Linked DNA regions of Anolis sagrei. The protein of the gene in region 1 purifies or fractionates together with the protein of each later gene. This does not show direct contact. Links are inferred from orthologs where the notes say so. Each region holds a gene or a part of one and is shown on either strand. Other genes may lie near its edges.

Region 1 (7,151 bases):
ATTAGCCTTTATTGAGTTATTGGTTACATAGTTTGGGATGGTAAAAGGAGTGAAAGGAGCACACGGCTGTAAAGAGTCCCTGGTTGAGGCTGCTGCTGGGGCACATTTCATCAGTTGGCCCAACTTGGCATTCAGGAACTATGGAACTCCCTGCGGCTGGTCAGATCAGCTTGAAGGCATTGGTCTGGGATGCCCTCAATGACTGTTCCACATTACCAGAAGCGACTTGCAGTTTCTCAGGTTGCTTCTGACACGACCTATATATATATATAGATATAGATATATAGATATATAGATATAGATATAGATATAGATGTAGGCTGTTGAATATTTGAAATTTGGATATGGGTGCATCCACACTGCAGAATAAATGCAATTTCCTACCTCATTAACTGCCATGGCTTGCTGCAATTTAGTCCTTGGATTTGTAGTTTGGTGAGGAATCAGCAATCTATGCCAGAAAAGGATTGTACAACTGCAAATCCCATGATTCCATAGCATGTCAGTTAAAATGGCATCAAACCATATCAATTCTATAGTGTAGCTGCATCCCTTGAGATTATTTATTTATTTACTGTATTTGTATACTGCTCTTCTCAGCCCTCAGGCGACTCAGGAACTCCATGGACAAATATGTGACTTTTTATACACATTTTGAAAGGGTACACCTTTGTTATTGAAGGCTTTCTTGGCCAGAATCACTGAGTAAAAATGCAAGATTAGAAAAGTGGCTTAGTCACAAAAGCAAATGAATGCTCAAGAAATAGGTGTGTGAACTCCATCACAAGACCTGAGGATACCCGATAGACAATCTCTTACCAAATGACAATGGAATGTTTGTACGAACTCCAACCCGTTATAACTCAAGATTCGGGGCTTCCAAGAATGAAGAAGTGATCTTGCTGGTGAGCCCAGCTGTAAATAAAATCCTGCTTTTTTCCACTCCAGAAGACTCGGTGTTATCCTTAAACACTGACTGTTACATACTGGGGGATCAGACTTCCTGTGCCTCCTCCTGATTGATTGAGAAATGACCCAGCTAGGATCCAGACATAGATTGGCCAGGGGTTTCCCTTTCATCACAGATCGGAGGAAGAGATCCCTACGGCAGGAAGAAGAACAGCTCATTATTGGTAGGTCATAGAATCATAGAATCAAAGAGTTGGAAGAGACCTCCTGGGCCATCCAGTCCAACCCCATTCTGCCAAGAAGCAGGAATGTTGCATTCAAATCACCCCTGACAAATGGCCATCCAGCCTCTGCTTAAAAGCTTCCAAAGAAGGAGCCTCCACCACACTCCGGGGCAGAGAGTTCCACTGCTGAACGGCTCTCACAGTCAGGAAGTTCTTCCTCATGTTCAGATGGAATCTCCTCTCTTGGAGTTTGAAGCCATTGTTCCGCGTCCTAGTCTCCAAGGAAGCAGAAAACAAGCTTGCTCCCTCCTCCCTGTGGCTTCCTCTCACATATTTATACATGGCTATCATATCTCCTCTCAGCCTTCTCTTCTTCAGGCTAAACATGCCCAGCTCCTTAAGCCGCTCCTCATAGGGCTAGTTCTCCAGACCCTTGATCATTTGAGTCACCCTCCTCTTGTCAACATCTCTCTTTAATTGTGGTGCCCAGAATTGGACACAACATTCCAGGTGTGGTCTAACCAAAGCAGAATACAGCATGGGGAGCATTACTTCCCTGGATGTAGACACTATGCTCCTCTTGATGCAGGCCAAAATCCCATTGGCTTTTTTGGCCATCACATCACATTGTTGGCTCATGTTCACCTTCCTGTCCACGAGGACTCCAAGATCTTTTTCACACGAACTGCTCTCGAGCCAGGCATTGTCCCCCATTTTGTATCTTTGCATTTTGTATTTCCTGCCTAAGTGGAGTATCTTGCATTTGTCCCTGTTGAACTTCATTTTGTTAGTTTTGGCCAATCATCTCTCTAATCTGTCAAGATCGTTTTGAATCCTGCTCCCATCCTCTGGAGTATTGGCTCTCCCTCCCAATTTGGTATTCGTCTGCAAACTTGATGGTTCTGCTTTCTAGCCCTTCCTCTAAGTCATGAACGAAGATCCTGAACAGGACCGGGCCCAGGAGGGAACCCTCCTGATGGCACTCCACTTGTCACTTCTTTCCAGGATGAAGAGGAGGAAGCCTTAGGGAGAATCATCCTCTGGGTTCGTCCATTTAACCAATTCCAGATTCACCTTACTGTAGTTTTGGCTAGCCCACATTGGACTAGTTTCCTTGCCAGGAGGTCATGGGGGACCTCATTTGTTGCACTCCAGGAAAAGAATAATCCTCTGTCTTTAAACACCACACACTGAATAGGAAAAAAAAAAAAAAAACCAATCCTTTTATTGATGATAAGTACATGAACAGTAAAACAAAAGGCACTTTAAAGAAATGGGTAAATCCAATTAGGTAAGAAGATAAGTAGGAACAAATTAGTTGCTGGTAGAGTTCAGCGAAGTCCATAAAAGCAAAGTCCACACAACTCTAATACAATCCAGAAAATCACCTTTTTTATGGTGCTTCTTTTTTGACTTGGGTGATGGTTGGAGTTTTTATGTAGATATCTATCTGTGTGTGGGGGGTTTCTGTAAATTGTTGATCAGGTTTACGGATGACTAGAACATCTAGAAAAGGTTCCTGGACCACCTGAACAGCATCCATTCAAACATCCAGTTCACCATGGAAAAAGAAAAGGAAGGAAGACTGCCTTTTCTAGATGTACTAGTCATCCGCAAACCAGATCAACAATTGGCTCACACCGTTTACAGAAAACCCACACACACGGATAGAGATCTACATAAAAACTCCAACCATCACCCAAGTCAAAAAAGAAGCCCCATTAAAGCCTTGGCAGACCGTGCAAAAAGGAATCTGTGAAGCCCACCTCCTCCAAGATGAACTGGACCACCTCAACTGGGCTCTCCAGGCCAATGTAGACTCCACCTCAGACATCAGAAGAGCTGCAAGACAACCGAGAAGAAGCCACGAGAGTAAAGATGAAGATCCACCCAGAGGAAAAGGGTTCCTGCCATACATCAAGGGAACCACTGACCGCAGAGGGAAGCTGATGAGGAAACACAACATACAAACAATCTACAAACCCACCAAGAAAATCCAACCAATGCTCCGTTCAGCAAAGGACAAGAGGGATCCTCTCACCTCTGCAGGAGTCTACCGTGTACCATGCAGCTGTGGACAAGTCTACAGAGGGACCGCCAAACGCAGCATTGCCCAGACACGCATCAAGGAACATGAAAGGCACTGCAAACTACTCCAACCAGAGAAGTCAGCCATAGCAGAGCACCTGAGGAACCAACCTGGACACAGCATATTATTTGAGAACACAGAAATGCTGGACCACTCTCACAACCACCATGTCAGACGACACAGAAAAGCCATTGAAATCCACAAGTGTGTGGACAATGTCAACAGAAAGGAGGAAACCATGAAAATGAACAAAATCTGGCTACCAGTATTAAAAAAAACTCTAAAATTAAAACAGCACAAGAACAGAGGGAAAACAATCAGGGATATTGTCGAAGGCTTTCATGGCTGGAATCACTGGGTTGTTGTAGGTTTTTCCAGGCTATATGGCCATGTTGCCTCCAGAACCTACAACAACCCAATCAGGGACATCTAATCACCTCTCAAGAAAAGATTGCTCCAGGCACTGCCAGGCTATCAAATGCTAATCAAGGTGGTCAGTTGAAACATTCACACCTGGCTCCAGCAGACAAGAGTCCTTTGTCCCACCCTGGTCATTCCACAGATATATATACCTATTTTCCTATAAACCTATAGACCAATTTTCCCAGTTCCAATAGACCTCATAACCTCTGGGCATGCTTGCCATAGATGCAGGTGAAACGTCAGGAGAAAATGCCTCTAGAACATGGCCATATATAGCCCCAAAAAAATCTACAACAACCCAATATCTCTCTGTGCTTAAATTTCAGATGAGAAACCTACTATATTTTATTATGGGGTGCACTACTACAACTCCGCCAGTAGAGGCACTGCACCCTTCTGCAGCCTTTCCAGATTGGATTTCGCTTTTTGCCTTCAGGGGGGAAAAAAGTCCCTCGGGGGCTGCCGTCGGAGGCGTGCCTGCGTACGCGCGCGCGCCAAAGGCACTTTTTCCGGCGTGTCCCCTCGCGACCACCGTCGTTGCCATGGAGAGGCGGCCTAGCCAAGCGGCGGGAGTTTTCTGCGCGCGAAGGTGAAAAGGAAGGAAGGAAGGAGGAAGAGGAGGAAGGCAGGCAGGCATCATGGAGGACGAGCTCTACCTGGAGAACATCGACGAGTTCGTCACGGACCAGAACCGCGTCGTGAGTTTTGGGGAACCGAGGAAGGGGGGGGGGGGAGTTGGACTACAACTCCCAGCATCCCCTTCACACACAGACATGCCTCCAAACAAGGCCTAGCTTTGGATGAGCAGCACTATGATGAACTAAAGAGCTGGTTGCGGGTGCTGGGAGTTGTAGTCCCAAAACAAAAAAGAAGGGGGAACATTCCCCTATTATTAGTATCAGAATATATTATTATTATTATTATTATGTTTATTTATACACAGCTTTTTCTCTCCACAAAAGAGACCCAAAGCAGTTATGTATCTACTATTAGTATTACAAGCTATAGACCAGTCTCCTCCTTGTTGTATCACCTTTACAAAGTTCTGGAGAGACTTATTTTGCATAGAATTATGGAGAAAATAGACCCCTGTCTGATCCCACAGCAAGCTGGCTTCAGGAAAGGCAGAAGCTGCACATCGCAAGTGCTGAACCTGACTCAGCACATAGAAGATGGCTTTGAAAGGCAGCAGATCACAGGAACTGTCTTCATAGACCTGTCAGCAGCCTATGAGACTGTGAACCACCACCTCCTCCTGAGAAAAATGTATAGTATCACAAAGGACGACCACCTCACCCGCCTCATAGGAAACCTGCGTCACAGGCGCGTTTGGTGGGGGCGCGGGACAGGACCTTTTCTGTGGTAGCCCCCCGACTTTGGAACACCCTCCCCAAAGACATCAGGCAAGCCCCTACATTGGCAGTCTTTAGGAAGGGCCGGGCCAAATGTGATGGGTACAGATTAAAAAGTGCTGGGTGTGACAGTTGGTATGCCGGATTTTAGGGTAAGTGCAGTGTGCAGGCAATCTTAAAACTCTGATAAAGTGCTTCTGGGACATATTGCTGGAGTTTTCCTATTCTGGAAAGGCACATCGGAACAGGTGGTGCAATACCGGCTAAGCAGTGCAATTTCTCCAGTGGTGTAGGGCACAGACCTAAAATGCAGCATGTCTCATTAAGAGCCACATCCACTGTTTTAGTAGCCAAGCATAAGGGCAGATGTCTTCACTGTGTCTGGTTGTGATCCCCAGGTTGTGCCAGTCAGCTTTCGTATGATATTGTTTCTAGCACCCACTTTTTGCTTCATGTTCAGGCAGTGCTTCTTGTAGGTAAGAGCATGGTCCAGAGTGACTCCCAGGTATTTGGGTGCGCAGCAATGCTCCAGGGGGATGCCTTCCCAGGTAATAATCCTCAGAGCTCGGGATGCTTGTCTGTTCTTAAGGTGAAAAGCACATGTCTGCGTTTTAGATGGGTTGGGGATCAGCTGGTTTCCCCTGTAGTAGGCAGTAAGAGCACCTAGAGCTTCGGAGAGCTTCTGTTCTACCATCTCAAAGCTCCCTGCTTGAGCGGTGATGGCACGATCATCAGCATAGATGAAACTCTGTCCCTTCTGGCAGTGGCTGGTCATTTGTGTAGATGTTGAACATGGATGGGGCAAGCACGCTTCCCTGAGGCAGGCCGTTCTTCTGTTTCCGTCATCTGCTTCTCTGGCCCTGGAACTCAACAAAAAAGCTCCTGTTTTTCAGTGCTTGTCAAAGTTTCTTGGAATAAATGTCTGTCTGAATAAAAGTTTGCCTATGCCTGCCATATGGTCAGCTTAAGTTCGAAATGACTTGAAGGCACACAACATGAGGGTCTTATGAGCATCATCTGCCATTGTGTTATTATGTTTGACACTTCTACGGAGGCTGGAGTTGGTATTTGTTGTATGTTAAGACTGTTGTGTTTCCCATTACAGGTGACCTACAAATGGCTCAGCTACACCTTGGGTGTTCATGTCAACCAAGCTAAGCAGTAAGTATTGCTATATCTTGTATCTTATCTTCAACAACCAAAGTATAGGTATCAAGTTCAAACCTCAGAGGCTGCGAAAAGAATAGAGGCCTAAATTTTTATCATCGCACCAAATCACTGTCAATAGAATTAAAAGAATTACTGACTAGGGCAATAGTGGGACTCATGTGACCCTCAAGATCAGCCACAGCCAAGCATAATTATTATGGGAATTATTCAGAGATCCATGTAAGTTTGATCTCTCTCTGTAACGCTTTCTATCAAGAATCTACTAACCTTTGATCAATGAAGCTCTTATTTAAATGAACTTTTAAGAAGTTCAGATGCTGCTTTTCTTTTCTCGTCTCTTCAAAATCCAGTTAGACTTTCTAATCTTCATTTTGTAATGTTTAAACCATCTGTTTTGGCTTCGGCCTATACCTCCCACTCTGGGTCTGGATGTTCTGTGTGCTGGATTTTCACATGGCTCTTGGTTGAATGCCAAAAACTGAACATGAATGAAGGCCTAAGATGATTTATATGAGTCTGAAATGGTCGCTTTACACGAAGAAGGAAAGAAAATCTCCCAATCTTCAGAGTTCAGACATTTTGAAAGAGACTAGCTACAAGACTTGTGATACAAGGTCTTTTTCTTGTGCAAGTGTGTTGCTATTTGGGTGCATCTACACTGTAGAACTAACACAGTTTGATTCCACAACCTTGGGAGTTGTAGTTTTACAAAGTTCCTTATCCTTTTATACCAAAAAATGCTAATGCCTCATCAAATCCATTGGGGGACTTTGGAGAAGTTCCTTTCAGGGCCCTTCCTGACAAGCCCTATATCCCATGATCTGATCCCAGGTTTTTTTCTTCAAACTGGATTATGTGAGTCTACACTGCCAGATAATCTGGGATAAACAGAAAACCTGAGATCAAATCCTGGGATATAGGGCCTGTCTGGAAGGGCCCTCAGTCTCAGAGAAAGGCAAAGTCAGTTTTAATGTTTGTATGTTT
Region 2 (7,884 bases), on another chromosome or scaffold:
CTTAGAGTGGCTTACAAGACATATATATATATATACAATATATTATTAGCATAGTACAATATCAGTATTATATATTACTATATTGTACTATACCATTATATTGTAATATTACTAGTAACATCACATGTAATATAAAATATATAATTATATCATATTGTTAGTAGTATTATTATATTGTATTACATTATAATATTATAAATATTATATGTATATACAATATAGTACACTACATTATATTATATTATTAGCATAGCACAGGAAACAAGGTAAAACTGTCTTCTGGCCCCCTCTCTCTTCACTCTGGCCCAGAGCAGCAATTGGTGCTGGGGGAGTGGTCCCTAACTGATGACAAATGCAGGAGACAAGATGGAACTGTCCCCCCCCCCCCTTCACTCTGGCCCAGAGCAGCAGTTGGTGCTGGGAGGAGGGGTCCCCAACTGATGACATGAGGGCTTATTGTTAATATTTTTGTTGTTTTTGAATACAACAAATTACATCAAAACAAAAAAATTCCACCGTGAGCATTTCATTTTGTAATGCTTCTCCTTCTGTAAGTTTCAAAGGTAAAAGATCTGAGAAGCATATTTCTTTGAAATCAAAGTTAAAATATTTTCAATATGCTACATGCATCACACCCACCTTACTTTTTGACAGCTGCTCAAATCACTGGATCCTCTCATTTTAGAGCAATGGTTCCCAACTTTTAGTCTGACAGGTGCTTCAGACTTCAGTTCTTATAATTCCAAACAGCTGGTAAGCTGGCTAAGATTTCTGGAAGTTGAAGTCCAAAACACCTGGAGGACCAAAGGTTGGAAATCACTGTTCTAGAGGATCAAAAATCACTTACAAAATACAGAGTACTACCTTGAGTACAGCTATGCCTCTAAACATCTAAGAACACCAAAAACATTAAAAGCAAAATACACTTTTCAGTCACAAATGCAGTCACGTTATCTAGCAGAGGGAGGGCAAATTTCATAGAATCACAGCCTTCTTAGTAACTGGTGGGAAGGAGTGAGAGAGCTGAACAACAACTCCATACAGATGACATCTGACCCCAAAACTCCAGATGATCTCTCCCAGTGGCTTCATGTAAATGTTAAACAACATAGGGGGGAATACTGATCCCTAGGGGACCCCACAAGTCAATGGTTGTGAAGTAAAGCAGTTGTCCCCCATCAACACCTTTTGGGAACGACCCTCAAGGAACAAAGATAAATGATCTGTTTGTTCTTATGTTGAGGCCGAACAAACTCATATCAAATAGGACATCAAACATAAATGCTCATGTGAGGAGCTAGATAACTATTCATTCAAGGGCCTTCTGGACATATTTGAATGTTCAGGCATGCTAGCTACAATAAATTTACTACAGTTTGTTTGATGTTTCTCTACAAAGACAACCATCAACAGTACCTCTACAAGATCCTTTCTCGGTCGCAGCTTTAGAAGGGGCTCACTAAGTCGAATGGAGCACATTCCACCACGGCCTTCATAGCAGCAAACTCCTGCACATCTAGAAAATAATAAATCACAAACAACAAACATTTGCTTTCAACTGCAACTTGGCTGTTCTGTATTCATAATGCATTAGGGTTCTTACCTTGTTTGAAATAGAAGGTTGGACGATTGTTCTCCTTGGGGGTAAATAATCAGGACTTTTCTCTTTTACAGTAATTTGTTAGAAAATTTAAGATTGTGATTAGTGCCTATTTTTTTCAACACGTTTATTGATCAACAAGGGGAAGCTGTAGCCAAATATTAGTGTGAAAGTGGATACAATCTAATAAGTGTTGTTAGAGTAATGTCAGGTTCAGACATTGGGGAGCAAAAGGTAGGCATGATATAAGAGTTAGGTGTTAACTTGGATCCATAAGTCAATACTAAAAAGTAACTTTAAGGAGATAGACTCCATGTAAAACTTATTCCAGCAACAGAAATCACCTAGGATATTAAACAGCCTGGTTTCCAGGCCTATCTGAATTCGGCTACCCACTCCTGAGGTCTTTTATTCACAAAGGTTTCCTTACTTCTGAGATTCCTCTGCTCCCAAGAAAGATGACTCTTCTAGGGCTTAAGATGCATGTATCACTGACAGTAATTGCCAATGGCTGCATGTTCTTACTTGGACATTTCCTGCATGTAGCTAGATCATTCCTTCCATAAAAGATTGCTCCAGGCACTGCCAGGCAATCAAATGCTAATCAAGGTGGTCAGCTGAAACATTCACACCTAGCTCCAGCAGACAAGAGTCCTTTGTCTCACCCTGGTCATTCCACAGATATATAAACCCTTTTTCCTAGTTCCAACAGACCTCACTACCTCTGAGGATGCTTGCCATCGATGCAGGCGAAACGTCAGGAGAAATGCCTCTAGAACATATAGCCCGAAAAAACCTACAACATCCAGCTAGTATGAGAATTCTGGGATTGTGGTTTAATCTGAAAAGGAACATTTTAGTCCAGACTTGAGAGCCAAGGGTAGTTCTGACTACTGAACTATGCCTTGGGGAGGTGGTTGGACTGGATGGCCCACGAGGTCTCTTCCAACTCTATGATTCTATTGAAAGTTTCCCCACGCCTGGGCTAAGCCAACCCCTTAAAAGAGGTAAGGACACAGCCATAAATCCGAATAAGAAAATGTGTGGGGCACAACGTGTCCCATGAAACCGTACAGCGTCATGCGGGGGCTCCACTTCACCTCCACGGCCTCCAGGGCCCCCCAAAAGAGGCTCTGGTTGAACTGCAGGAAGAGGCCTCGCACGTCCGGGCTGGGATCCAGCAGCTCCCAGCTCTCGTCCACCAGCGACAGCGGCCGTGCCGGCGAGGTGAAGGCTGGGCCGGCCTTGAGGGAGGCCCGTGCGCGGCCGCCCTCCTCCGCGTTCCACTCCTCTTGGAGCCGCAGCGCCAGCAAGAAGTCGCCGTCCATTGGAGCACAGCCTTTCGTTGAGCCCTCCGCCTTCAAATCCCGGCGCATGCGCCGTAAAGCCGAGGGTTTGTTGTCTTCCTGCCTCGGAGAGAGTCGCGCGCCTCGCGTCACTGCGGCGCGGCGCCTTGACGTTTTTTACGCAGCGGCGCACGTAAGCGGCCTTCCGGTCAGAGGCGGCCCCTGCTTCCGGCGCAGCGACGCCTTGCTTCCTCTCCCTCCTCGGCGAAGGCTGGTCTCTGGCGGCTCCGGCTCGGCCATGGCGCTGTCTCTGGGTGAGGTGGCTCCGGGCGGCGGCGGCGGAGGAGGAGCGGGAGGGAGCCGCTTGAGGCGGCAGCTGGAGTCCGGGAGCTACGCGGCCGAGGAGTACGTGAAGCAGCTCTCGCAGCAGTCGGACGGCGACCGGGACTTGCAGGAGCACCGCCAGCGCATCCAGGCCCTGAGCGAGGAGACGGCGCAGAGCCTGAAGCGCAACGTCTACCAGAACTACCGGCAGTTCATCGAGACGGCGCGCGAGATCAGCTACCTGGAGAGCGAGATGTACCAGCTCAGCCACATCCTCACCGAGCAGAAGGGCATCCTGGAGGCCGTCACCCAGGCGTTGCTGCTCCTCCAGGCCGACCGCGACGACAGAGCCGCCGGGGCTGCCTCCTCGGACCCGCACGCCAACCCCTTCCTGCCCCTCTCCGCCAAGGAGGCGGCAGCCAGCGAGGAGGGCCGCCAGCGCACCCTGACCACCCTCCTGGAGAAGGTGGAGGGCTGCCGCGACCTGCTTCCGGAGAGCCCCGGCAAGTACCTGGTATACAACGGGGACCTGGTGGAGTACGACGCCGACCACATGGTCCAGATTCAGAAGGTGCACGCCTTCCTGATGAACGACTGCCTGCTGGTGGCGGCCTGGCTGCCCAACCGCCGGGGCACTTACCGTTACGACGCCCTCTACCCACTGGACGGCCTGGCCGTCGTCAATGTCAAGGATAACCCGCCCATGAAGGACATGTTCAAGCTGCTCATGTTCCCCGAGAGCCGCATCTTCCAGGCCGAGAACGCTAAGATCAAGAAAGAGTGGCTGGAGGTGCTGGAGGAGACCAAGAGGAGCCGCGTGCTGAGCGAGAAGCGGAGGCTGGAACAGGAGGTGCCGGCAGCCCGTGCGCCTCCCCCAGCCCCTCCAGAGGCTACCAACCCCTTCGATGAGGATGAGGAGGAAAGTGGGGAAGGGGGGACCCCAGAGGAAGAAGTGGTGGATCTCTCCCTGGAGTGGATTCAGGAGTTGCCTGAAGACTTGGATGTCTGCATCGCTCAGAGAGACTTCGAAGGGGCGGTTGACTTGCTGGATAAGCTGAATGAGTATCTAGGGGATAAGCCCTTGACACAACCAGTCAGGGAGTTACGAGCAAAAGTGGATGAGAGAATCAGGCAGCTCACCGACGTGCTTGTGTTTGAGCTTTCTCCAGATAGGTCACTTCGAGGTGGGCCCAGAGCAACCCGTCGTGCTGTTTCTCAGCTCATCCGGTTGGGCCAGTCAACCAAGGCGTGCGAACTTTTCCTGCGGAACAGGGAAGCGGCCGTTCACACAGCCATCCGACAGTTGCGCATTGAAGGTGCCACTCTGCTGTACATTCACAAGCTGTGCCATGTCTTCTTCACCAGCCTGCTAGAGACCGCAAAGGAGTTTGAGACGGACTTTGCTGGCAACAGTGGGTGCTATTCGGCTTTTGTTGTCTGGGCTCGATCAGCAATGAGGATGTTTGTGGATGCGTTTAGCAAGCAGGTGTTTGACAGTAAGGAGAGCTTATCTACTGCTGCTGAGTGTGTAAAGGTAAGGGCCCAAAGTGATGAGATGGAAAAAAAACTGTGTTACCCTTAATTACATATCCTCTAGATCACAGCTTCATAAAACTTTGGGTCCCAACCTCAAGCGGGGTTCCCTTTGCTCAATGTTGGAGTCCAGAAACATTTGTCAGCAGTAAACGTTTTCTGAATGTCAGCTAGTGGGTGTTTTGACATTTGCACAAATCTGTTGTGCAGTGTTCACAGTAATTCTACAGAAGATGCTTCAGGTATAGTTCATAAAAAGGAAAATCAGCCTGTTTAGCAAGCCTCACAAGTGCTGATTTCTTCTCACATCTATTGATGCCTATTCTATATATTTGTGTACCCACAAAAAATTCTTAGGTCAAAAGGCGTCATGAGTGGAAACGTTTTCCAAATAGTGTCCTTGAATTTAGAAGCAACATGGAAGCAAAGTATTGAGTCATCTAGCCCAGCTTCCTGAGACAGGATATTATTTTTGTAGGCAGTTATTTATGATGGCCGTGGCTTTGTGTGGTTCACTCATCCCAATGCTCAGCATTACTCCAGTCATTTTTCCTGTTTTGCTTTCTTATGTTTTCTAAAGATCTATTGCTGTTTTTCACAGCAGGATAATACCTGTTTTTCTTGCCTTCCTAACACTAAAGAACCCCGCCCTTTTATCATTTAGTAGATGAGGGAGGACAAGTTATGTACAAACTCCCTCTGTAGCTTGGCTTTATCCCAAATGGTTTGTTCACATACAGAAGTGAGGGTGTGGCTTGCCTGCCGAAGAAAGGCAGTATGTACTGAAAAACGTAGCAGAGAATATAGGGACTAAACTTGCAAGTGGTTGCAATAGTCAGGACAACCTAGCACTTTGAGCACTTAGTTTAATCGCATCTGGAAATTATTGGATGGGTAGAATTATATCCCAACACCACTCCTTTCTCTTCAATTCTTAGCACTGTGGAGTGTGTTAAAGATTGTCTTTTTCTTATGGCTGGAATGGTGGCAGAAATAGAAATAAATGCAGAGTCATGTACTGCTTTCTGCTTTCATGGCAGGTTTCTATTTACAAACTAATGTTAAAGATTTATGGACCTGACATGGCTCAAATTAATGTTGACTGTGCTATTTTGAAATTGATGCAGAAAGCATGTTGAAATTGACATGAGACCTATCACTTTAGGTAAATTTAGTCACAATTATTTTGTTCTATTCTTGTTAAGGGAATTAGGCACAATTCAAGTTTGTTGAAGACCGGCATAGTTCTCTAAGGTGGGGGTGGGGGTTAATCTCTCCTTGAATCTCTATTTTGAGAGAAAGCAGAATAAAAATGAAGCAGAATAAAGCAGAATAAAATGAATAAAATTTTGGGTTAAACCGAGAGAGAAGCTACATATGTTGGCTTCCTTCTAGTGAAATGAAATTCTCCATTTGGGTATTTCCTAGGAGTAATTACTACATATTCTAAGAATATGTCATGAAATCCAAGACCCAAATAAACTATTCTTAAAGGATAACTATCAAATGGTCTTTTAAAAAGCTCTGAGAAGTATATATCATAATATTTTAATGAACCAGAGAGGGAGAGCAATTCTTTATTCAGTCAGGTATTTCCAAAGTTATCAAAGCTCTTCAGTAAATCTTACAAAGTACTAACTGAATACACATGTATGCGTCTAAACATTTTATTGAAAAATATACCCAAACAAACTTGGGTCAGGGTAAGTACTGTGCCATAACTCCTATATAAAAAAGGATCCTTCATCTTCAATGAGTAGGGTGGCAAAAAAGAGAGCTTAGTTTGTACTGCAAGAATTGAAAGAGAACCGCTTCTGACCTTTTTGCATGCCTTGTTGGGGAAGAAGCTGACCCTCTGAAGCAGTAATGGTCCTTTCCTTTCTCCATATAATGACCCTCAACTTATCCAGTGGTCATACCATATCCAGTAGTCATATCAAAATCCATAATCTTGACTCTGAAGTGTGTCCACATGAATATACAGTATATGGTAGTTTCTTTTTAAATATACCTTGATATAATGTGTATTTTCCTGCTGCTTGTAGTAGGAGAATCATATACAGGGTTAGTCAAAATGCATAGGCCAATAAGCCATTCAATTAAATGGCTTATTGGCCTATGCATTTTGACTAACCCTGTACTTTTAGGGCATTGAGAGATCTGTTGTGCAACTAGTGTGAAGGTGTGGAAAAACTAGCATTGTGCCTTTTTTTGTAGGTGGCAAAAGAACACTGCAAGCAACTCAGTGAGATTGGCCTGGACCTGACTTTCATCATTCACACCCTATTAGTGAAAGATATCAAAGGTGCTTTGCAAAGCTACAAAGACATCATCATTGAGGCCACAAAGCACCGCAACTCTGAAGAGATGTGGAGGAAAATGAACCTAATGACACCAGAAGCTTTAGGGAAGCTTCGAGAAGAAATGAGGAGCTGTGGAGTCACCAATTTTGACCAGTACACTGGTGATGATTGCTGGGTGAACCTAAGCTACACAGTTGTGGCTTTCACCAAACAGACCATGGCTTTCTTGGAGGAGGCTCTCAAACTCTACTTCCCAGAGTTGCACATGGTTCTGTTGGAAAGTTTGTTGGAGATCATCTTTGTGGCTGTCCAGCATGTTGATTACAGTTTACGCTGTGAACAAGACCCTGAAAAGAAGACATTCATTAGACAGAATGCCTCTTTTCTTTATGAAACTGTTCTTCCTGTGGTGGAAAAGCGGTTTGAAGAAGGAGTTGGAAAGCCAGCTAAGCAGCTGCATGATCTGAGGAATGCTTCAAGACTAATGCGTGTGAATCCTGAAAGTACTACTTCTGTGGTGTGAACTGCAGTGCCTCAGTCCTTTTCATATTAAACTTTGTATATACATGTATACACATAACTTTTTTCAAACCCCCTCCCAATAGTAGCCAAATCTGATAATGTTCTCTTTAGCAGATAATGTATTGAAAAGAAATGGGAAAGCAAAGAAAAGGAAAACTTAAAAGAAACAATATAGTTGGAAATCCACATTCCCTCCAAAGATCTGGTTGTGCCATTTTAGGTCACATGAGATGGTTTGGTCTGGAACCTAACAAGTTAATCAAACATGGTTGTGCTAATTAGAATATGACCAAGAATAACTACTAATGAATATTCA

What was found. The genes of interacting proteins can lie anywhere in the genome.
Region 2: the proteins of POLD3 (region 1) and SPRTN purify together in Homo sapiens (affinity purification with mass spectrometry; 3 studies listed by BioGRID, with this or other methods). This does not show direct contact. The link is inferred for Anolis sagrei from reciprocal best matches to the Homo sapiens genes POLD3 and SPRTN.

What each region holds. Positions count from the first base shown.
Region 1 is NC_090023.1:5,090,996-5,098,146, forward strand, and holds the start of POLD3 (DNA polymerase delta subunit 3), read left to right. Parts: upstream 1-4,138; 5' UTR 4,139-4,283; coding exon 4,284-4,343; intron 4,344-6,102; coding exon 6,103-6,158; intron 6,159-7,151. UniProt on the Homo sapiens protein: Accessory component of both the DNA polymerase delta complex and the DNA polymerase zeta complex.
Region 2 is NC_090021.1:60,852,516-60,860,399, forward strand, and holds the start of SPRTN (DNA-dependent metalloprotease SPRTN), read right to left. Parts: upstream 3,022-7,884; 5' UTR 2,977-3,021; coding exon 2,675-2,976; intron 1,517-2,674; coding exon 1,417-1,516; intron 1-1,416. Other genes in the region: EXOC8 (exocyst complex component 8), read left to right, coding at 3,185-4,744, 6,961-7,569. UniProt on the Homo sapiens protein: DNA-dependent metalloendopeptidase that mediates the proteolytic cleavage of covalent DNA-protein cross-links (DPCs) during DNA synthesis, thereby playing a key role in maintaining genomic integrity.